Linked DNA regions of Bombyx mori. Each later gene encodes a partner of the first gene's protein in a complex. Links are inferred from orthologs where the notes say so. Each region holds a gene or a part of one and is shown in the gene's direction. Other genes may lie near its edges.

Region 1 (3,500 bases):
AATACACCGAATTACAAAGATAAAATTAAATGTGTCGCGTATTAAACGAAATGTCGCTTAAACGACGAATAAAACGATACTGCTTAATAAAAATAAGGCGGTGCATGCCCACTAATACGTCTTGACACTCGTTTCGCAGTTGCACATCATAAAATTGGAGGTTTAGATTTTATGATCATAGAGGAGACCAATATTATTCCTGCACTGTAGGATTCATTCGTAAACACGTCTTAGATGCGTATTTTCTAGACAAAATGTTATCTGTCCAATCTAGACCATGGCATAAGAGTCCATAGGCCATTCTCTCTACGGCCACGCTTCAATATTTGATACTCATACATGTCTATAGGTAATTGCAGATTTAATAAGTAAATTGTATTGTTTGGGCAGTTACACGAGTTGATTCCGTCCGTGTCGACATGCATAGTATCACGACAGCTGTGCCTTCGTCCCGAGATGGATAACCACTGGGCCCTGCGAGATTTCGCCGCGCGACTCATGGCTCAGATATGCAAAACATTCAATACTTCAACCAATAATCTACAAACGAGAGTCACCAGGTATTTTAATTTGAATAAATTTTAAAGTCACACAATGTATCTGGTAGTTACTATACGAAAATTCTTTGCGCTCAGGTTGTTCGCGAAAGCCCTCCAGTGCCCTTCACAAACAAACAACGAAACGGGTCCTTCTATGGCGAGCATGAAGGAATCGGAGAAGACTCCTCTCGCGTCGCTGTATGGAGCCGTGCAAGGATTGGCAGAGCTGGGCCCCGAAGTCGTTAAAGTGAGTAATCTGTGTGCTTAGTGCGAGTTTTTTAACGTTTTCGATAGCGTGAAAGTTAGCCCAATTTTGTATGCAGTTGGAACAGCGCCCCTAGTGGCAAACGTATGCAAAAGATCCCATTCTGTACGAATATAAGCTAACTTTTACGCCATCGAGAACGTTAAAAAACTCGCACTAAGCACACTGACGCCGTCACGCAGCGCCCTCTACATAGGCGCGTTAAACATTGTCGTGCGTGAATTAACTTATGCACGCCGGGTTTTTAGTTGAATTTGATGGCTGTGTACCGGCGGCCCAGACACGTAGGCGCAGTGTTGGATTTACACTAGGGGCAGTCGGGGCAAGTGCCCAGGCCGGCATATTTTTTAGGGCGGCAAAATTTTTAGTTTTTTTTTTTTAGTTTTATCAAGATTGCTCAATATAATTAATTAATTCTAATAATTAATAATTTCCTTTTTAATTGATAATTCAAGAAATTCAATTCATCCATTATTTGTCAATTATAATTTTGGCACTTTTGGTAAAAATTAATAATCAAAATGGTTTAATCAATTTATTTCCTTGGAGATTTAAAATAATAATCGATTTTTCTATTTTCTATAATTAAAGAAATATAATTAGTTATTTTTTTTGATGAAATATAATTATGAGTCACCCTTAGTCAAAATTTGTAATTGTTAGAAAAAAATATATATATTTATTTATGTTTTTGAAATATATGACATATGATAAAGTTTCCGCAATAAATTAGTCATCCTAATTTTGAAAAATAAAATATATAAATTATAAATTTAGGTAAAATTACAGTATTGGCACGGTTTTTTTTTATTGTTTAGATGGGTGGACGAGTTCACAGCCCACCTGGTGTTAAGTGGTTACTGGAGCCCATAAACATCTACAACGTACATGCGCCCCCCACCTTGAGATATAAGTTCTAAGATCTCAGTATAGTTACAACGGCTGCCCCACCCTTCAAACCGAAACGCATGACTGCTTCACGGCAGAATAGACAGGGCGGTGGTACCTACCCGCGCGGACTCACAAGAGGTCCTACCAGCAGATTTTTTTCCGGTACCGAGGAGCAGTATTATGTTTCAATCCGACCCTGCGTAGGCGTGATAATCTGGCGATTCATGTTAGATCTGGTAAGATGACGCCTTTTTTACAGGTGTTCATTCTGCCGCGCGTGCGTTGGTTGGGAGAGCGCGTGGAGGGCGCGCTGAGCGGTATCGGTGGCGCGGACCGACTGGCGGCCGGCAACCTCAAGCACCAGCTGCTGAAAGTCCTGGCCCCTGTCGTCCGACAACTGCGGCAACCGCCCGACCAACCCGAAGACTACAAGTCAGTCACGTCTTATACACGAATCGTCCTGTTGATTTCCTATTGAACTTTTTATTACTCATGTCCGGTCAGTGATTGTCGATATTCGCGCATATTTATTGACACCTAAAAATTTAGATTAATTTTATATACCTAGGTACAGTACCAGGCAATAAATATTGCACATCGATATTTAGAAAGAGACTGTCGTCTAATTTTGTTATTATTGTAGAGCGTTATCTGTGTGCGATGAAACACCAACGATCCCGTATCTATGGAGATTAAATGTCAATTAGGTAATGTGCGACACATATAACGCTCTACAAAGCAAAAATTAACCATCTCTTTCCCACGGTCGATGTGCAATATTTATCGCCGGGTACTGTATAACATTTTCTTTATTTCTTATTGACGTTTAGAAAATAAACAATGTCAAAAAAAATGTCTAAAGATCTTCAATAGCTAATGAACAAAAAGAATATCAATGATCAAACACAGAAGAAATTTTTTTTCTTCTATAAATTGGCAATATTTTTATATAGATTACCGTAGCATTATTTTTTCGCTACATGGGCCGTTTTCCAATTACAGCACAAGAGCGCATTATGCGGCATAATGCTCAACTAAGCTTCAGCATAATTCGGCATTGTGCGTCACTGAGTCGCATTATGCTCTGTAATTGGAAAACTACCATTAAGTAATGGTTAATTGCCGAATTATGCTGAAGCATAGTTGAGCATTATGCCGCATAATGCGCTCTTTTGCTGTAATTAGAAAACGGCCATGGTTTCTGCTATCCGTCTGAGCATAGGTACCAGTTGATACAGGTATGTTATCAGACCATCAGCTAACCACTTTCCACTACATTTACCTTTAGTCAGTATGCTGAATGGTGTTTATTTTGTAACTCAATCACATTGTGGACCTCGAAAAATGAACTAGAAATGTATCATACACTGTTCTTGATGAAGAATTACTATCGCAACCTTTCGGTTTTGATTTTACTTGTGATGATTCCATATAATGTCATTATAAGAATTGAATATATATTATCATGGGTGGGCCCGGCAATTGTCTTGTCCTGATAATAATAATAAAGCCTTAACGGGTCCAATTGTAATTGGAAATTGTCCAGGGACCCCCTTTTGCGATGCAAAAATAATCATAAGAATCGGGCCAGCAGAATCCCGGCATACATACCCTCTTATTCCAAAAATAACATAGATTGCGATTGGAATGCTACCCTATGTAATGTTTTTTTTTCATGAAAGCCACATTTAAAATTACGTTAATTTTTAGTCCAAAAATAGCCAAGTGAAATGATTAAATATCTATGAACATTTTTTTATATCAGATTTACATAGATAAATTACATACAAAGACATACATTATAT
Region 2 (3,930 bases), on another chromosome or scaffold:
AATTTTCGTGAATTTAATTCAATTTATACAGTACTAGCGGCCCGCACCGTCTCCGCTCGGGTCTTTAATAAAAAATTCAATGATATTTGACGTTGTTTTATTTTTTTTTAAATAAAAGAACACTTATTGCGGAATAACTATAAGAGTACATATGCTGTTGCGACACTTTTTGTAAATAATGTGTTCTACAAAGTTGTACATTATTTTATTCTATTATCAATAGTTTTCGCAGGGCACGCGATGGAAAGAATATTGAAGGTAATTTTTTTACACCTTGGGTTACATTATTGGAGTTTTAGTTTTAGTAAGATCCCTAAATTTTTCAAAAAATAATATAACCTATGTCACTCGGGAATAATGTAGCTTCGAAACAGTGAAAGAATTTTTCAAATCGGTTCAGTGGTTTCGGAGCCTATTCAATACAAACAAACAAACAAATCTTTCTTCTTTATAATATTGGTATAGATAATTTAAAAAATATTAACGTAGCTTTTTAGCTTGTTAATATTTTTCCAAAAATATAAATTAATATCATAACTAAAATTTTGCGACTTGCGACTTAGACCTCATTATAATTCAATTCATTAAGGAATGTCGATCACTTTAGATGGAGTAAAATGTGGTATTATAACATTAGGATTTGATAAGAACGTAATTTATAAAGTGTCTAACACAATCACAACAAAAGAGACTTAAAATTAAAATATAGTTATGAATAGCGAATTAAGAATAAGTTTTAGCCTGAAACCTTTGCAGTTGTAAATTGGCTCACCTTTGTACAAAGACGCTGTTCTACTTTTTGGCGGACACTTTTAACAGATCACAAAGTTGGTGTTTATTTATTTATTTATGTACCTTATTTTATGTCCCTGTGTATTTAACTGTAAATATTGTATATAGTCATCTGAGGTATGACAACTTTTAGCATGTATTACCAACATTTGTACAATTTTCAGTCAAATAACAAAATTATTCTTTTTATTGAAAAGGTAGTGATTTTATTTGGGCTGTCTTAAAAAAAGTACTTTTTATCAAACAGACAAAAATCTAAAAAGTAAAAAATAAAAGTTGTTTCCAAAAGCAGTGATACCACATTTTGTCGGTAAATACCGGTTTGTAACCGTCCAGTGTCATATCCGCTGATTTGTAGAAAATGGCGTCAACGGAGTTTTTGGAGGAAGCTTTGTCCACAGACGTCGACGAGAAAGCCGTGAACGCGATCGTGGGCACTCTCGAAAACCAATTAGTTACTAACGTATCGTCGGCGCCGTCACAAAATATTTTAGTGAACGTTTTATCATCTCAGTTTCCCGGGCTAAGTTCGAACGCGGGCTCTATTATAAGTGGTCATAAATATACAACAGGCGGAGTTAGCTGCGGTATTGCCGCGAACAGTATACACAGACCCTCGTTGACAAATAGCACGTCCTGTAATAATGTCCAATCAAGTGTTCCTGGTACTTATTCCTCTTTGACACCGGGTGGTACTGTGACCAATTGTAACGATAACATACAAGTTATATATTCTCAGGCTCAAGCATTTTCTAACCCAAATTCGGTGACATTTCCCGCTCAGTCACTTCCGAACGGTTTCGTTGGGTTGTCCTCGTCCCAAAATCATTTGATAACGTCAGTAGACGCGATGCAACCTCCTTTAGTTTTAAAACAGGGGACGTCTTCGGGCCAAGTGGGAATACAGTCTGGAATGGTCACAGTACCGATGACAGCCAATTCAAGCATGTCCGGTTCAATACCAAATGTAATGACTTTGAACAAACCTGGACAAAATGTAGTTGTAACAACTCAGAACTTGGGTTCGAGTCAGCCCACAATACTCCCTAATGTTCAGATTCTGAATATGAGAGCTGGTGCTCCAGCAGTTGCGGCACAAAAGTCAGTAGCAACAGTATCACCAAGAGTAGTGATAGGCACCCCACAAGTTGTTGGCACCAGAGCTGCAGGACCAGGCGTAAGTCTCAAATGTTAAAATATTAATACATTAATTATTTATCCAAGCGTTTTGTCACTAAAACTTATTTAAAACTTTTAGGACTGATACAAGTTGTAAAGTAAATATACCACCAAAAAAAAAAAAACTTTTATAAATAAAACAATATTTAGGAAATTCAAAACATAGTATATTGCAACTTTTCTGAAATGTTTGTAAAAGATAAAAATCATTAAACTTAAAATAAGTTAATGTTATTAATTTCTAATTTAATCAAATCAGAATCTTCTATTGTTTTTATTGTCTTTTTATCAGTCCTAAAACAAATTAACAATAGACATTATAGAGGAACTAAAACAAAAAAGAAAAAATCTACAGGATCTTTCTGCATTATAATGTTATGCTGTAAAAATAAATGTTATAACATGGTTCATTATGGTTATGTACAAAAGATATTAACACAATTCTTAGATACCCACTTATCTGTAAATAAATTTCACTGAAACATGAAGAGGATGGATTTCTTCGGGCAACATCACTGTCATCTAAAACTCTTAGCATATTTGCACAAATTGTCACATAAACACAGAATACTGCTTGTTAAACTTTTATCAATGGGAAATGGGCCCACTGGTGATTCAACAAATTTTCAGTGGTTTGCATATCATAAACAAGCTGAAATTTAACTTTGAATTCTGCTACCCTACAATCAAATAATGCCTCAAAATATAAACCTAATACAACATGGATTTATAAATTAAACTTTATTATATAATTTTCTGGGAATCCATAAAACTGCTACAAATAAAAATATTAGTAAAATTTATGAAATCAAGCAATCTTTACCAGTTTAATGGAATCTGAGAAAGCTTCATTTCAGATGTCATATATGTCATATATAATTGCATTGTGCTACTCGGGCTTTTGTATAATATTGTAATCAATAATAGCTTAACCCATCCTAACCTTGTCATAATCATATCATATACATGTTAGTTTTGCACAGTCACCTGTCCCGTCAATGTTGTCATGTCACTGAAGTGTGTTATAAATTTTAACAAATGACCTGCTTTAGGAATTCGCATTCCAATTTTATATTTAGTAAAATATATATTCTTTCACTTGTTACTCTTCATTTAATGAAGAAGTAGGTGAAATTGAATTGAAGCGTTCAATTTTTAGATAACGCTGCAAACACTACCAAGTCTACAACCGGGCCAGCAGGGTCATTTGTTGTTAAAGACAGAGAATGGTCAATACCAGTTGCTGAGAGTGGGTCCCGCTCCAGCGGCCAGCTCTCTCACGACGCCCCAGCCTCAAACCATCAGGCTGTCCACTGTGCCAGCAGTAAGTAGGCACAACCACTCACACCCTGACTGAGATTGGACAACCCCCCCTCTCTCTTGCGCCACATTGAGAATCTCATGTTTGTCCAATTTCATGTTGTTCATGCATGTACAAATGTGGTGAAGGTGCATGTTCTTATTAACAAGGTAAGAAGATTCTAATTGGAGTATCATTACTTATAAATACTAATTACCTGGATTCATTAGTTTAATGTAAGGCATAAATATATGCGCTGGTACCCCAACAGTACATCTAAGTATAAGCCAAATGTCCGTGCTAGCTGTAGAGCATGCTTATTATGCATAGTTATTAAGCTGCTTCAAGTATTTAAATATTTATTAGTAAATACAATAATATATGCAATATAATTAGATATGTGTTTATAGATATATTTATAATTTAGTGTTATACTTTAATAAATTTTTTATAAATTTTAGAAATTATAAGTTATTTGATTAATATAATCTTAACTGTATAACAGACAAGCCATTGTTTAAAAATATCAAAAATATCTATTATAAATTATTATACAGTAATCCATCCTATAACACAGTCAATTGGTTCCATGTTATAGGAAACACGTTGTAGGAGTATTTTCATATGACGCACTTGTGTGATCCCATAACACGCGTTTT
Region 3 (4,014 bases), on another chromosome or scaffold:
GGTTTTGCTAGATACGCGCATCCGAGCTTTATGGTTTCGTTGGTGATCCTGTCGGGGCCTGGACTTTTCTCTATTTTTAGTGATTTAATCCCTTTAATCACTTCGGATTCGGAAGTAGAGACGAGAGCAGTCATAGACGAATACGAAGAAGACATAAAAGACGTTAAAGAAAAATTGATTTTGTTATTTAAATATATGTATTTTGTTTGTTTCTATTTTGTTTGTTGGAAACCCTAGTCGTACCACCTATTTACGAACATTATTAAAATACCTACTTTTTACTTGTATCTATTGTTATCAAAATTAAATTATAAGTTCTTGACTTGACCACGACTATGTGACCCCCTCCTGGCGCCAAAGCTGGATCCGCCGTTGAATGCACTGGACGTCTTATCCTTTAGGCCACGATGACTTTACAACTTCACACTTGTGCCATTTCATATTTCTTTTTTTGTGAATTTTGTGTTTATTTAATTAAAGGCTTTAAACCTCTTTGCCTGTCTTATGAACAATTAAAACAAAGAACTCTATCATAGATAATATACTTGTTGAATAGATAAGGATGATACAACTTGATAGAACAGACAAGGCGCTATGGGCTTAGATCCCCTTGCCTTTTCTAATAAAGAAAAATTGTACCAAAAAAAGTTTATGGATAGGTAGGGACTTTTTGGCGGGAACGAGAGGTGTCAAGTTGTGCGATTTGTTTTATTTTGTCTATTTAGTGTTTCTTCAATTTTAAATGTGTAATAACGGTGGTTTATTAACTGCTTATTATCTGTGAAAGTGCACAAATGTGGGAAAATGAAACAAAACCGTTGTACATAACTTCTTGGGATCCTCCAAAAAGCCCACTGAAAAAATCTCAGTAAACGACCACCATTTTACTGAGATTATATTTCATCCCATATGATCTCATCTCATTTCATTTAATTTCATCCCAGTTGATTAATGTCTCAAATTCTTCATTTCATTTCACTCCATATTATCATTTTTCATAAAAATATCCCATATCATATCATCTCACCTCATTTCAATTCATTTCATGTCAGAGATGGAATGGCATGACATCTTTCATATTAAATTAGTCAGCTTCATTTCATTTCATAATTCATAAAAAAAAGATTAGGCCGGTTGGTGTTATTTCTTTGCCTTTCCATTTGTAAAAATTAAACTACTAAGGAGTATGGGCTTAGATCCCCTTGCCTTACATAATAAGGAAAAATTGTACCAAAAAAAAAAGTTTATGGATATGTTTTGTTGACGAAGCGAAGTAAAGCAAATAATATTATAATTACATTAAGTGTATTATTTATGAGATAATTACAGTAAAAAAAGTAGTACATAGTTCGATAAGCCAATTAAAATTATCTAAAGAGCAGTAAAATGTCCGAGATGTCAGAAAAAACTGAAACTACATCTGATGCTCGTCGACGTATCTTAAACATTGCAGTTTCTACGGTATTATTGGAGACCGGTTTCGATGCTGCTGATAAAGTTTCGTTGGAAACTTTGACTGAAATGCTTCAATGTTGTACGTAAAACAATATCTTAAAATAACGTTTTACCAATAGACGTCTTTTTCATTACAGTTTAGTGCCAAGTGTATTTATATAATTGTATTTATATATTTCCACCAATAAAAGACCAGAAATTTTCTTTAAAGTAACAAATCAGGTACATATTTCACAGAAATAAAAATTTACTACTCATTACAAGAACTTCATACCAGGAAATTGGAATTTGCAAACAAAGTGAATTTACTTAATAGATATTGTGGTGCATTTATTAAAAAAATCAATATGCTTATGTTAACTAGCTCATTCACTGCTAGGAGCAAAGTTCAAAAACATAATTTATTTTTATGTAAAATATAATACCAATTACACTGTTATATTAATGGATTGTTTTAGTTTTTGCAGAAGTTGGGAATTCGGCGAAAGGATTTTGTGAGCTATCTGGACGGGTGGAGCCAGTGTTGGGTGATGTTGTAATGGCACTTATTAACATGGGTATAAATAAAACAAAACTTTATTTATAATTTTTATAATATAAACTTTATTTATAAAGTTCAGTATTTGCATTTTATATTTGAAAATGGGAAAGGAAACCTGTTATATTTGAGTCGTCTATTATCAAAGGCGGCAATCTGACTTTTGGACAATGATTGGTAAATCAGAAAAACGAATTATTGACTTTGTATTCCATCGGCAGTCACAAAACTCTTCGGAACGACATCTTAGATAAATAACAGGTTAACTATTAACCTTTATTTAATGCAGGTTTTGAACCGTATTCTTTGAAGGAGACGATTATATTCAAATCAATCTGTATTGACATATCAATAAAAAAAAATTGTCCAAATGCACAGATTGCCACCTTTGATAATAGACGACTCATTTGTAAATAAAAAAGTGATGAAGTTTCCAAATTTTTTCTCTGAATAGTAATATTCATAAATGTTAGTTTTCATGGTTATGAATAGATTAATAAAAAATGAGAAACTTTACTGAGTGCTTGTTAATCATCAATTTTTTTTTTAGGTATAAGCTTACAGGGTATTGAACAATATGCTGCTCGTCCAAATCGGCATGTAATTCAACCTCCTCAGCAAGCTCCTGCACCTCGCACCCCAGCTATGTTGTCAGCTGGCTCTAAAGCTAAACCAGCACCACATATACCTTTTCATTTGCCTCCATTACCAGATCCACATGCATACATCAGAACACCTGTGAGTATAAACCTTTAACCACAAATGTTATACTAAATAATAAGTAGGTAGTTGAATGATTTTTTGTTTAGTTTTAATCAAAATACAAAGCGAAGGATATAAAACAAAATGATTAAATAAATCATTGGGGACTTTTGAGGTGATGCTTAGTATTTTGCAGCAAAATAGAAATTAAAAGTTTTTTATGTTTTTTTTATTGCTTAGGTTTGTGGACGACATTTTCGCCCATCTGGTGTTAAGTGGTTACCGGAGCCCATAGACATCTACAACGTAAATGCTGTCACCCACCTTGAGATATGAGTTCCAAGGTCTCAGTATAGTTACAACGGGTACCCCACTCTTCCAACCAAAATACATTACTGCTTCACGCCAGAAGTAGGCAGGATGGTGGTACCTACCTGTGCGGACTCACAAGAGGTCCTACCACCATAATTACGCGAATTATAATTTTACGGGTTTCATTTTTATTACACGATGTTATTCTTTCACAGTGGAAGTCAATTGAGAACATTTGTTTAGTATGTATTTCATTAGAAAAATTTGTACTTGCCAGCGTGCTTTGAACACCAGTGCATTACTGGATACTAATGCACCGGACTTCTTATCCTTTAGGCCACGATGACTTCATTGTGATCAGTTTTGATGTTTATCATTTTTTATGAAGCAAAAAACCTTCTGCCAATATGTATATTCTTGAATAAATAAAGTTTGTGACTTCTAAATCGAACTAATTCGTTGTTTTTTTTTTAATTACAGACTCACAAGCAACCAGTAACTGAATATGAAGCCATTCGAGAGAAGGCAGCAACCCAAAAAAGAGACATTGAACGTGCTTTGACTAAATTCTTAGCAAAGACAAGTGAAACCCATAATTTATTTAATACAGAAGACAATCAGGTTTTTCCATGTATGAATAAACTCCTTTCATTTTGTATTAGGAATATTTCTCTTTATAGAGATATTAATAGACTGTTAACATCTCATGACCATGTCACTCATGTGATAAAAAGAAATGCATGTGTAATATATGTTCATAAAACTTCTTCCAGGATAAAAGAATAACATTTATAAAAAAATGCAACACATAGGCAGCTACTACCATGCATCCTTTTTCTGACAAGAAGGGGTGATGTGTTTTGGTTTGAACGATAGAACAGTTATTAAAAATATATTATCGAGATTTCAACCTTATGTCTCAAAGAGTGGGTGGCATTCACATTGTGATCTTTAGAGATTTTGGTAACCACTTAACACTAGGGGGCCTTGTACTTTATATAGTAGAA
Region 4 (4,072 bases), on another chromosome or scaffold:
CGGGCTGATGCATGGGTTAGGTTGCACGTCGACCTCTTTGTCGAGTTCGACGAGTACGGTTACCGGGGTCCCTAAGCCTGCCCCTAGTATTAGAGCTGAAGGCATCTAATGCAAAGGTTATTGGATCTGATGGATCCGTAAGGACGTGTCTAGGGCGTCGACGGTGACTGGCTCCTGCATGATCAGGATTCGGGGAGTAGTCAACGGCGGCTACGATAAGGCGATTATCATGACGCATAGCCTTATCGAAGTATCGTTCCGACGCTGACTTCATGTATTTCCGAATTGATTCGAGGCCCAGGTCGTCGTGTAGGTCAACGTTCCTCACGAACCACGGAGCCCCGACAGCTAACCTGCAAAAGCGGGATTGTAGGGATTGGAGGGTGTCTATGTGTGTGCGGGCCGCGTGAGCGAACACCACACTCGCGTAAGTCATGACGGGCCTTATGCAAGTTTTGTAAAGTGTCACCTTGTTCCGAAGGGACATTTTACTCCGCTTACAGATCATGGGGTAGAGTCTACCGAGAATAAACGCGGCACGGTCACGGACTGATTTTATATGCGGGCGGAATGTCATCGATGCATCCAGGGTAACGCCCAGGTACTTGACCTTCCTGGCCCAGGGTATGGGTTGTCTAAAGAGAGTAATCGGGGGTGTGAGATTCCTCCTCCTAATCCGGGAGGAAATCCGTGTGGAGCTTCCCCTCTGAAATAGCACCGCTGTACTTTTCGCTGGGTTGATGTCTATGCGCCATTTTCGGAACCACTGTACTAGGGCTAGGGCTGCGCTCTGAAGCTTCTTTGCGATTAGGGACTTATTTCTACTAGAATAGTAAACAGTCGTGTCGTCGGCGAATAAAGCTAAATGGGTCGGCGGCGACCGGGGAATATCGTTGACGAATAAGCTAAATAGGAGGGGTGAGAGGACAGAGCCTTGCGGGACTCCAGCTGTGAGAGGTCGTGGGGAGGAGCGGGTTCCCTCGACTCGATATCGAAAAGAGCGGTTTGACAAGAAGTCCCGTATGATGAGCACGAGACTATCCGGCACGCCCATGTTGAATAGTTTGAAATCTGGAATATCTGTGTTAAAGATCACCCAAGCTTAACCGATTATGAGGATTACGGTAGCTTAATTTTTTTTTAATTATTTATTTGATTTAAACAAAAATAAACTAATTGAAAGGAAATGAATTAAAAAGAAACTATAAATAAAACATCTTTGAATAAAGTCGCAAAGCAAATGCTCCCTGTAATCAATTTTAGTCTATCACTAGTATCATTGAACGCTGCCATAAGAAGACCGCCATTTGTTTATTTTCAAATAGCAACACTCGACATTGACAACCCAAAATGCAATCATGGCGCACGGGGTACTGTGTTTTTAGAATGCTGAGAAGTTTTTACGTAAACACTTCGTTAATTTATATTGCCATCGATTTGTGTGTTTTTATAAATTACCCTTGACTTTATATAATCATAGTTAAGCATACATGTATGTACAAAACTTGAGAATTTCAGCAGTTCAGAACCACGTCTCTGTACTACTGGACACTTGCAGGTATAAAAATCACGAGTTTCCTTGTTTTACCACTTTGACGGCTTGTAATATGATTCTCTGTGATCGAAAATGCTTGTACAGCATTTCTTCGCTTCGACGCCATTTGAATTATGCTGATTTATGTTTATAATACCGATATAAACATTTGTTCCAGATAACGTTGTTGGTGTCATAATGTCAGAGGCGTACGCCCGCGAGATACTACGGAGGAATGTTGCGCAAATATGCCAAACTATAGGATGGAACGGCATAAACTCAACGCCACTTGACATTTTGGTACATGTACTGGAGAAATATATCAAAACCCTTGGCATCCAAGCCAGTAGGCATGCTGAACAATTTAATAGGACTGAACCAAATTTACATGACTTAGGATTAGTATTCCGTGACCTTAATGTGAATTTGCCGGAGCTTGCTGAATATGTGCGTTGTGTACCTCCTGTTCCACCTCCAGTAAACTCTGTTAAATTCCCAAAACCGAAAGAATCGAACTTAAACTTCTTAAAACCAGGAAGTCATGAAGTTGTCACAAGGCCCATGCACGTGCATGAGCATCTGCCTCCTATGTATCCAGAGAAAGAGAGAGACACACCGGCTGTTGCAGGCACTATTGAAATACATCAAAATGGTATTGATAATGTCACTAGCAATAATACCATATGTACAAGTCCAGAAATATCTGTCACAGACAGTCCTGAGAAATCAAAGGAAATTTTTAAGAGACCAATTGATCCTGTTTCTTTACCTAATAGTAAAAGGCCACGGTTACGCTTAGAGGAAGAGGAGAGAACGAGAGAAATAAGTAGTGTGATGATGACCATGTCTGGTTTTCTGTCACCAGCCCGTGAAGGTAAACTTCCCGAAGCCCGTCCTCCTACAATTATAGCAGAAAAGCACTTTGAAAAGCACAAAGTTAATTCTCATACAAATGTAACTAAACCTCCAATTTTAGAAAAAGTTGATAAGAAATCTAAGAAAAATAAATTACCTAATGGTAAAATTATGAAGAGTAAAAGAAAAGATAAACATAAGAGTGAAAGTGGTAAAAATAAGGACAGTAATAAATTAAATAAATTTCCTCCTGGTTATCCTGTAAAAAGTAAGGATGTGCAGCCCAGACACCATAATCATATAACTATGCCAGCGCCTGAAGCTGCCCCTCCACCTCCTCCTTCAAGAGCAAAGATGGCACCTCCTCCTGCACTGGTGCCTATTCCAGAGCCAGTAAAACCTGTCATAAAACAGGAACCATTGGATCCTCCGTCACCAATATCCAGAAGGCTTTCTGTTGAAGATGCAATACCGGTCCCTAGAAAAATTCCAATCTCATTATCTCCTCTAGTATCTAATTCCATCACCACACCTAAACAGCAGTCTATGAGTAATTCTCTCATTCCTCACACTGAAATAAAGAGAGAAGTTTTAGATGAAGATGAGAAATTGGCCTCTCAACCTGATAAATCAAAGATTAATATATTTAAGAGAATAACGAACAAATCAAAAGAAGATAAGACTACTCCAGAGGTTGTAAATGATAAAGTAAATCTTGATGCTACTATTTCAAGGTTGCAAAATGCATCACATCAAAATTCAGTTCATAAGTCAAATGAAAATGCAAGAATGAAATCTGAAGTGATAGACCAAATTGTGAACAATAATGACGATAGTGCTGTAGATTTGTCTAAAGTGATGGATTTAAGAAGTAATGAAGTGATTAATATTGATGAGGATTCTTTGGACAGAAACCCTACACCACAGCAAAGACAACTACTGGAATCTAAACCTAATATATCAATCAACAAGTCCTTACAAACCCCTTTTCCCAAAGATCTACCGAGTGTTAGTCCTAAAGTTAAAAAAGAGAAAAAACACAAAGACAAGAAAGATAAAGCAGCAAAATTAGAAGCTAAATTGTTGAAGAAGCAACAACAACAATTAGCCTATGAAATGGCACAAGCTGAAAAGCAAAGTATGAAATTGGCTGGAATGAAACAACATAAAATCAGTAGACAGAAAAATGAATCAAAATTGCCACAAATGCCAGCTGGTTTTCCATTTTTTCATACAATGCCACCTGGAAGAGGTCTTATGCCCGGCCCTGGTCTCATCCCGAACCCTGGATTGATACCAGGAAGTGAATTCTTCACTGGTCTAGCAAACAATCCAGCACTAAGAGGTATGCCACCCTGTAATTTATTAAACAATCCATTTGCTTTGGGAACCAGTGGTCCTGGTCTCATTCCTGGTCCTAGTTTCTTACCTGGAGGCTTGAATTCTCCTCTGATGCCTATGGGAAATTTTGCCCAATCATCGAGATCTTCTTCCGTTAAAATACCACCAATGCTCCGTCGACCGAGTTTGGAGGTAATAGCAGTAGAAAATGATGAGGACAGAGGTATTCATAAGTCTTCAATGAATCGTGAAAAGGACCGCCACGATAAGCACAAATCTCAGACCATTCCAAATATATTACAGAAACACAAGTCTAAGTCGCATAAGGATCACAAGGCTAAT
Region 5 (3,955 bases), on another chromosome or scaffold:
AGTACATCAATTCCCGAAGGACAAGAAAATTGGAAGACTGTGGTTAAAGGCCATTTGACGCGAAAAAAGTATTCATACAGAAAGTTCGAGGTTATGTCGTAAACACTTTGTGGAATCTGACTATGAAAACATTAGTAAATACACAGGTATGCTTCTTTCTGTCAAATATATATAATGCATGACTAGGTGTAGCACACATCATTGTTCTCTTATTAAAAAAATCCAATAATAATAAGTAGATTCATGCTGTAAGGAACCTTATAACAAACACAAAATCAGACTGGAGGAAACACATTCCTCATGAGCTGTTGTTCATTATCAGCTGTTACTATTGAAAGTTCTATCTAAATCGCTGCATCCATTGCAATAACAAATATTTTGAAACTATGGTCAGCTTTCCTTGTGATAGTATATTTAAATGTTATTCTTTGTGTTGCAGGTGTCAAACATTAACATAAATATCTGAAGAAAGGTGCTGTACCATCTATATTTTCATGGAATATGAAACCAGTTTCTGAAGAAACAAAAAGTAGAGAAGTTACTTATGTAACTTTAGAGAAGGAATTGTCAATAAAAATAATTAAAAATATTCCTGATTTTTTATTTCGACAAGTGTGTATAGTTATAATACAGATATTTTTTATACAATGCTTCTTTGAAAATATTTTCATAAAAGATATCTAATTTATTTAACATATTATTTATAAAATTATTGTCTTTTTCAACATAAATCACTTTGATGTCCTTGTAGGTGTAAATGACCAAGTTGCAGTATGTTTTGCCTGAGCAGTATAACTGTCCTTGGATTTGATAATAGTATGGGCAGGATTTTTTAGAGACAATATCCCGTTACATCGTTCTAAGTAAGGCACCGTTGATATATTTATTTCATGTTTTCTGCTAGCGTATGGACATTTCACTTCAATTATAGCTTCTTCGCCCAACACACCATCAGGAGATGCAGCAAGATATGGGCGCTCTTGGCTATTGAAAATGCCACATGGCTCCACTAGCAAATCATATATATTAGCATATTTTGCTAGAGCATTTTTTTCATTTTGTTTCATGACTTAAAGGTCTCAGTTACCAGGTCATAAAATCCCTTAAAAAAACTCTATGTCAATGTCATTCTCCATAAAATAAAAGATGTTCATTGTTTTACTTTAACTCGTTTGTTTTAAAATCCACAACAAAACTACTACCACTACTGACTATTTATTTATGTAAAATTTCTACAAATAAACGTTTTAAGTTTTACAAAAAAACTTTAGTAAATCAATATCATGGCCACTCCCACTCCTGATTCGCAAGATAACTTTGACCAGGTAAAACTATTGATTTTCCGTTGCTTGTTTATTTTTTTGTTCTTTTGTGTACATAAAAGTATTGCTTTGTAGTTTGATGAAGAAGAAGAGCAACAGTTAGGTGGAACTACATCTGGTCGTAAAAGACTTTTTAGTAAGGAATTGAGATGTATGATGTATGGATTTGGTGATGATCAAAACCCGTATACTGAAAGTGTCGATTTTTTAGAAGACTTAGTTATTGAATTTATAACAGAAACAACACATAGGTAAGATAAAAAAAAAACTTTTTTGTGTCTTGAGAAAACTTCAATATTTTTATTCTTCTTTATATTCATGTTTGTGTTTCACTCCGTATACCACATCACACCAGGTGGACTCATGAACTCATGCAATCCTAGATTTAAATAGTACAATACTAAAAATATATATAACAGGGCAATGGAAGTTGGTAGAACAGGAAGAGTCCAAGTAGAAGACATAATTTTCTTAGTTCGTAAAGATGCACGAAAGTATGCACGTGTTAAAGACCTTCTTACAATGAATGAGGAACTTAAGAAAGCTAGAAAAGCTTTTGATGAAGTAAAATATGTTGGTGAGTTGTACATTTGATTGTAAAATTTGAGTGAATTTATTCCCATTAAAAAATCCAATTCTATATTACTATCATTGTAGTGTTTCAGTTTGAGATGTTTCATCTAAAGTGTGATTATTAATGTTTGTATTGAAATGTTTTGAAATTATAGAGGACCAACAGTAACCATACTGTGGCCATACAACCGACGCCATGCTTCTAGACTGATTGATGCAAGTAACATATATTTAATTATAACACTGCTTTTGTGTTTGCACATTCACAACAACACTAATGTCATGAATGGTTGTAAATTTAATAAGATCCTGAATGTAGATGTATCTGTAATTTGTTTTGATTACTTTAAATGTATGGTAAATTATACTATATAATATAATATTTATTTACTATCAAATATATAATATTTAGTACCTACTTTTTTAAATTTTATTGTGATCACCAGTGTATTATAAACAATAAGGTTATCATTATAGTAATAGAGTTAGAAGACCTTGTGCAAACGATATTATAGAATGTTCTGTTAAGTAGTATTTGCCCAAATTGTAGCATGTGAATCTGATTGTGAAAACTAAATTCTATTTTTCTTAATGAATATGCATTTTTATTAAAAAAAAATCTCACAAATGAATCATGAAAGTATTTTCTATTACTAGCCACAATTTTTCTCATCTTTGTGGCAAAGTTCAAATACCTCCTTGGTAAATAGAAGTGTCATTTTTGAGATTATCTATGAATGAAACTAAGCTATTGTTTGATATCTGTATATGAATGGAACAACCAGCCAAGTAGATACCATCAAATGGAACAAAGAATAATCGAACAGCAAAATATTTGGGACTGTGGAGCTTAATATTATCATGCAGGAGCATCACTTTCTTGTGTCTCTGCTCATTTTGTGGGCATTTTTCATGCAGTGTAAGCATTGCATTAAGCTTCACTGCATTAATTATATTCTATATCATTCTTCAGTGGAGGTTTTGTTCAGCTCCACAGCTCTTAATATATAATGCCAACCTGATTGCACCAAATACACAGTATAACCTTCGTAAGCTGAATATTTGGCAGTGGCAATGATGTAGAAACATTAACGGGGAGTCTATCATTAGTCCTTTTCCTCCCCGTGTGTTTCATCATTGCAAAACCCTTTCTTTTGTACTGTTGGAGTAGTCGTTCACAGATGAAAAGACAATGTTCAACATCATTTGGCTTCACTTCTAAAGGGAATCAAGTGTTACCCACTAGTGGATATGCCCAATCTTGGCTTGCAACCCTTAATATCGAAACAAGCTGATCTTATGTTTGATATGAATCCTCATCGAACAATAGGTTTTCATCTTTCGCATCTGTGGAGCGACGGAACCAATCAATGCCATGTTGCTTCATTCACATTTTCTCAATGCACTTGAGCTGCTGTTTTCTTTGAATGAAAGCAATTCTTCCTGCAAATGATGCTTCATTGGCACAAAATCAGACCATAACTTATTGCTGCAATTTGGTAGGTAAGCTCCTGGGGATCAACCTACTCCTGACTGATCTCCAAATCTTGCCCCTCCTGCCTAAGTCCAACCTGGCCTGCCTTATCTTGGTGAAGCTGGAAGACATCCATGCAATGCCGCTATCAAAAAAAAAATTGCAAATAATCTGTTTAACAATAATAATTAATTTCACGTATGTTTTCACGTTTAGAAATTCATATTGCATAAGCATTTTTATTGTTTATTGTTAATTTATGTGTTACTTTTGCACTTTGGTATTTGAAAGTTGTGTTTTGGCAAGAGATAGCAGCTTGAACAGTTAGCATGTTAGGATATGAGAATTTGTGTACTAATGAAATGAATGTCTAATATTTACATCTTGTACTACTTTATAGGTACTCTAACCCTAGATATATCACATAAAACTGTTTGGCTTGATAAAGAAATTAAAGCACTACTATCTGTAGAATGTTTTTTAAGAGAAAACAACAGGATTAGCAATTGTAGCATAATAGTATTTGTGTTGCTAATGGGAAATATATGTGTTGTGTTCAAAATTGTATGTTAAATAATTGCAAATT
Region 6 (3,500 bases), on another chromosome or scaffold:
CATCTAAATATATTCTTCATTTCCAGCACAAATAAATTTACAGTTCAGTTATCAAGAGATGCATCTTCACAACTGAAACGTTACTTACACGAACAGAAAAATTCCTCAGTAATAATAAATATAATAAATAATCATATACAAATCGAAGTCCATGATGGTCCAGGAAGAACTCAAGCACAAGTTCGAGCTACAGCTGGAGGGGTACTTGGAGAACCAATGAAAAGTGGTGAGAATGTTGAATAATTATCGAATTACTATAAACACCAATGAGAATGAGAGCCATTAAATATTAACCTGCATAGGTAGGTACCACCGTTCTACGTTTTTCTGCTGCAGTAATAAGTTCCTGTTTTAATGTTGAGACAACTGATAAACATTAGACTTGGTTTTTCTACCTCATGTCTTAAGATGTGTGATGACATTTAAGCTTTGATTTGTATGAGCTCTGATAACCACATATCACCATGAGAGCCACATATCATCATTGTTCACTCATCTATACATTCAATTGTTCTCCAGTTTTTCTTCCGGTATTTAAATAGTGACACTGATTCAATGAAATTGTAACTATACTGTAAATAACATTATGATGACATTGCATCACAGGGCCAAAAAATAAATGACTCTTAAGTAGGTAGGCCAAATAAATAGAATACATTTTATTATAAATAATTATATAAACGACAATACCTAATGAACACAAGAACAATGATAAGATTAAACTTTTTAAATTTAAATTAAACAAAAAATTAAATTATATAGAAAATCGCACCAAAGTGTATTATGGGCTCCTGAAAGAGCCCGATATTCAAGTTCTACCGGCTCCGGTAGAAGACGAAGAAGAAGTAGAAGAAACCCCTGACAAACCAAAAAAGAAAAAAGCGAAAAAAGATAATCTTTTTATGAAGAAACCAAAATCTGACCCAAATGCACCTCCTAATGACAGGATCCCTCTACCAGATCTGTAAGTCTTGTACTGATTGCAAATTTATGAATTTTTTAGAAAGAAATTGTGTGAAATAAAAAATATAGTATTATGTGCACATATTTTAATTTATTATTTTAGAAAAGAAATTGATAAAGTAGAGAAAGGCAAAGCACTCAGAGAAGCATCAAAACGTGTTCAGCTAGGACCAGACAGCTTGCCCTCTATTTGTTTCTATACATTACTGAACAGCGGACATACTGCAATTAGTTGTGATATTTGTGACGATTCCACCCTTTTGGCTGTGGGATTTAATAACTCAAACATAAAGGTATACATAGTATATAGCGAATGGTATTGATTTAATGTGTTATGATTTTCAGGTATATGCTTTTTACTAACTAACAAAAAATAGCATAGGAATGAAGCTGCTATTTTTAATTAGAGCTTTTGAAGGAACTGTATCGCCTAAGACTAGATTTTTTCTTTGAGAAGTTTTTGAAAAAAGAAAACCTGACTAGAGATGCTACCACGTTTTTCCCAATTTAGCACTCTTACTATTGTAGCGACAGCTATTACAGAATAGAAGATATTTGTCAAAAACACATCATCAAACACATAAGCACATCTAAGTTTCGAGCATTAGGACAAAGACACTCGCTCAGTGATCATTCCTAGGTCGTTATCCACAAAACTGTAAACCCAGTAAAATATGAAGTAACCGCTTGTAAATATAACGCTCTCATCATGTTTCCACTTGTGTACATATTTTTCTACATGACTGTAAAGATCAGAGATCACTTAATGCTAAAAAGCTTTTACGATAATATTTAAGTACAGTAAGTATACGAGGCTTAAATTAAGCATCAAAAGGTCGTTGCAAAATTCAAATCAGAGTTGTTAAATATTTTATTCCTAATTACCTCAAAGGCTCAGGGACATGCCTTAATACTAACGACATGTCGCAATGCTCGGGAAAAATCTGAGAAAGGGAGAGTTAGTTAATTCCAGGCAAAGCCGAGTGACACAATGAACTCTTAAATCTCGCTGTGGAAACCCTACGATAAGCATTGCCCTGTGGTAAGGGTAGTTATTAATGGTAGATCACGACTCAGAGCAGCCCCTAATAGATCGAAGTATCTTCGGGTACCCAATGATTGAAAACCATCCGAGAAACTAATCGATAATTCTAAAGAAACTATCTTCTCAAATTATAATTTGTCTCTAATTATTACTACCTAAACACTACTCATTCATCCTAAAACTCAAAATTATATTCTAATTTAAAATATTTTAGGTATGGACATTGACTCCCATTAAACTGCGAGGAATGAAATCTGCAGAAAAACTACAAGATATAGACAGGGAAGCAGGTATAAATTTGGTTAAAATATATAATTGTTTTCAAATGATTTAATCTAATATAAATAAATTGCTTACTTTTAGGTGATGTACTCGTGAGGATGATGGAGGAAAAGGACCGTGATACGTGCCGCAACCTTTTTGGGCACTCCGGCCCCGTTTATAAAGTTGCATTTGATCCTTTTAAAACAATGCTGCTTTCGTGCTCTGAGGATACAACTGGTACGTGGGTCCGGTTTAACAAACTTTGAAATCGGAATCAAAGTTCCCAGTCTGAACGGGGCAGTGAACCGGCTCTGTATTTTACAAATATATTATATTATCTCCTCGCGTCGTTTCCTCACTGCTGAGGGTCGTGACCATTATACTTCGACATGATTTTACTCCTTGTAATGTCCCGCCAGCGCCTCCGATTATTGGCCGCAGGAAGGGCGTCGTGGAATGGGATCTCGTGGATCTCGTGATATATGACTTATCATTAAAACCGGCTAGTAAGTTAATTAAATGAAATTTCGAATGTGATGCACTGTCCCTTTCCAACAATGCATGCGTTACCAAAAGAAACTTTGGTATTATTGCTTTTTTATTTCCCTTGTAGGCAGACCAGATACGGCTCCCCTGATGGTGAGTGGTTACCGTCGCCTATGGACGTCAGGAACGCCAGGAGCATAGTTAAGCCGCAGCCTACCGCTAAGTACCGTTAAGCTTGCACTCTGTCTGTCATGAATAAACTTTACAAATAATCAATTACATTACAAATAATCAAAGAATCAGTTCATGTCTCTATTTTTGAAGTATAGGTTTGCGATGACTATGATGAATTACAGTTTCCTAACAAACAAAAATTTGTTTATAGCTACATAATTACACCATTTGATGGAAAATTTATTGAAGACTGAAATAATATTGGTAATGGACCTACAGAAATTTCTTAGTCGGATTTCTAGTAACTGTAGTGGTTCGGTTAACACAAACTTGTTCGCGAAACGTCTACTTTTAACGATCTTACAGATCTTATTTTCGACTATTTTGAATTTATCTTCAGTCACTCAAAATCGCTGATGGAAGTCAATTATCTAATGCGGTACCCATTTTTCTACTGATGCCACGGTATAATTCGTATTCGGAAATAACATGATATTTAACTTTTCTAGAATTGTGAATAAAATTTTTCAAAGCAAACAATGCGAAAACACACAGAGAACACACTAAA

What was found.
Region 2: transcription initiation factor TFIID subunit 6 (region 1) and transcription initiation factor TFIID subunit 4 share a complex: the UniProt entries of both Homo sapiens proteins name them as parts of the TFIID basal transcription factor complex. The link is inferred for Bombyx mori from reciprocal best matches to the Homo sapiens genes TAF6 and TAF4.
Region 3: transcription initiation factor TFIID subunit 6 (region 1) and transcription initiation factor TFIID subunit 8 share a complex: the UniProt entries of both Homo sapiens proteins name them as parts of the TFIID basal transcription factor complex. The link is inferred for Bombyx mori from reciprocal best matches to the Homo sapiens genes TAF6 and TAF8.
Region 4: transcription initiation factor TFIID subunit 6 (region 1) and transcription initiation factor TFIID subunit 3 share a complex: the UniProt entries of both Homo sapiens proteins name them as parts of the TFIID basal transcription factor complex. The link is inferred for Bombyx mori from reciprocal best matches to the Homo sapiens genes TAF6 and TAF3.
Region 5: transcription initiation factor TFIID subunit 6 (region 1) and Taf13 share a complex: the UniProt entries of both Homo sapiens proteins name them as parts of the TFIID basal transcription factor complex. The link is inferred for Bombyx mori from reciprocal best matches to the Homo sapiens genes TAF6 and TAF13.
Region 6: transcription initiation factor TFIID subunit 6 (region 1) and transcription initiation factor TFIID subunit 5 share a complex: the UniProt entries of both Homo sapiens proteins name them as parts of the TFIID basal transcription factor complex. The link is inferred for Bombyx mori from reciprocal best matches to the Homo sapiens genes TAF6 and TAF5.

The regions. Positions count from the first base shown.
Region 1 is NC_085121.1:11,007,064-11,010,563, reverse strand, and holds part of transcription initiation factor TFIID subunit 6, read left to right. Parts: intron 1-390; coding exon 391-560; intron 561-635; coding exon 636-786; intron 787-1,954; coding exon 1,955-2,127; intron 2,128-3,500. UniProt on the Homo sapiens protein: The TFIID basal transcription factor complex plays a major role in the initiation of RNA polymerase II (Pol II)-dependent transcription.
Region 2 is NC_085107.1:19,834,974-19,838,903, reverse strand, and holds the start of transcription initiation factor TFIID subunit 4, read left to right. Parts: upstream 1-1,130; 5' UTR 1,131-1,153; coding exon 1,154-1,969; intron 1,970-3,130; coding exon 3,131-3,295; intron 3,296-3,930. UniProt on the Homo sapiens protein: The TFIID basal transcription factor complex plays a major role in the initiation of RNA polymerase II (Pol II)-dependent transcription.
Region 3 is NC_085124.1:7,747,477-7,751,490, forward strand, and holds the start of transcription initiation factor TFIID subunit 8, read left to right. Parts: upstream 1-1,214; 5' UTR 1,215-1,386; coding exon 1,387-1,534; intron 1,535-1,913; coding exon 1,914-2,012; intron 2,013-2,543; coding exon 2,544-2,731; intron 2,732-3,487; coding exon 3,488-3,638; intron 3,639-4,014. UniProt on the Homo sapiens protein: The TFIID basal transcription factor complex plays a major role in the initiation of RNA polymerase II (Pol II)-dependent transcription.
Region 4 is NC_085113.1:3,417,246-3,421,317, reverse strand, and holds the start of transcription initiation factor TFIID subunit 3, read left to right. Parts: upstream 1-1,272; 5' UTR 1,273-1,558; intron 1,559-1,712; 5' UTR 1,713-1,732; coding exon 1,733-4,072. UniProt on the Homo sapiens protein: The TFIID basal transcription factor complex plays a major role in the initiation of RNA polymerase II (Pol II)-dependent transcription.
Region 5 is NC_085115.1:8,093,394-8,097,348, forward strand, and holds the start of Taf13 (TBP-associated factor 13), read left to right. Parts: upstream 1-1,155; 5' UTR 1,156-1,283; coding exon 1,284-1,325; intron 1,326-1,397; coding exon 1,398-1,573; intron 1,574-1,741; coding exon 1,742-1,899; coding exon of another isoform or gene 1,900-1,916; exon of another isoform or gene 1,917-2,050; coding exon 2,051-2,064; 3' UTR 2,065-2,111; exon of another isoform or gene 2,112-3,955. UniProt on the Homo sapiens protein: The TFIID basal transcription factor complex plays a major role in the initiation of RNA polymerase II (Pol II)-dependent transcription.
Region 6 is NC_085110.1:9,225,387-9,228,886, reverse strand, and holds part of transcription initiation factor TFIID subunit 5, read left to right. Parts: intron 1-26; coding exon 27-226; intron 227-762; coding exon 763-964; intron 965-1,066; coding exon 1,067-1,256; intron 1,257-2,222; coding exon 2,223-2,298; intron 2,299-2,371; coding exon 2,372-2,509; intron 2,510-3,500. UniProt on the Homo sapiens protein: The TFIID basal transcription factor complex plays a major role in the initiation of RNA polymerase II (Pol II)-dependent transcription.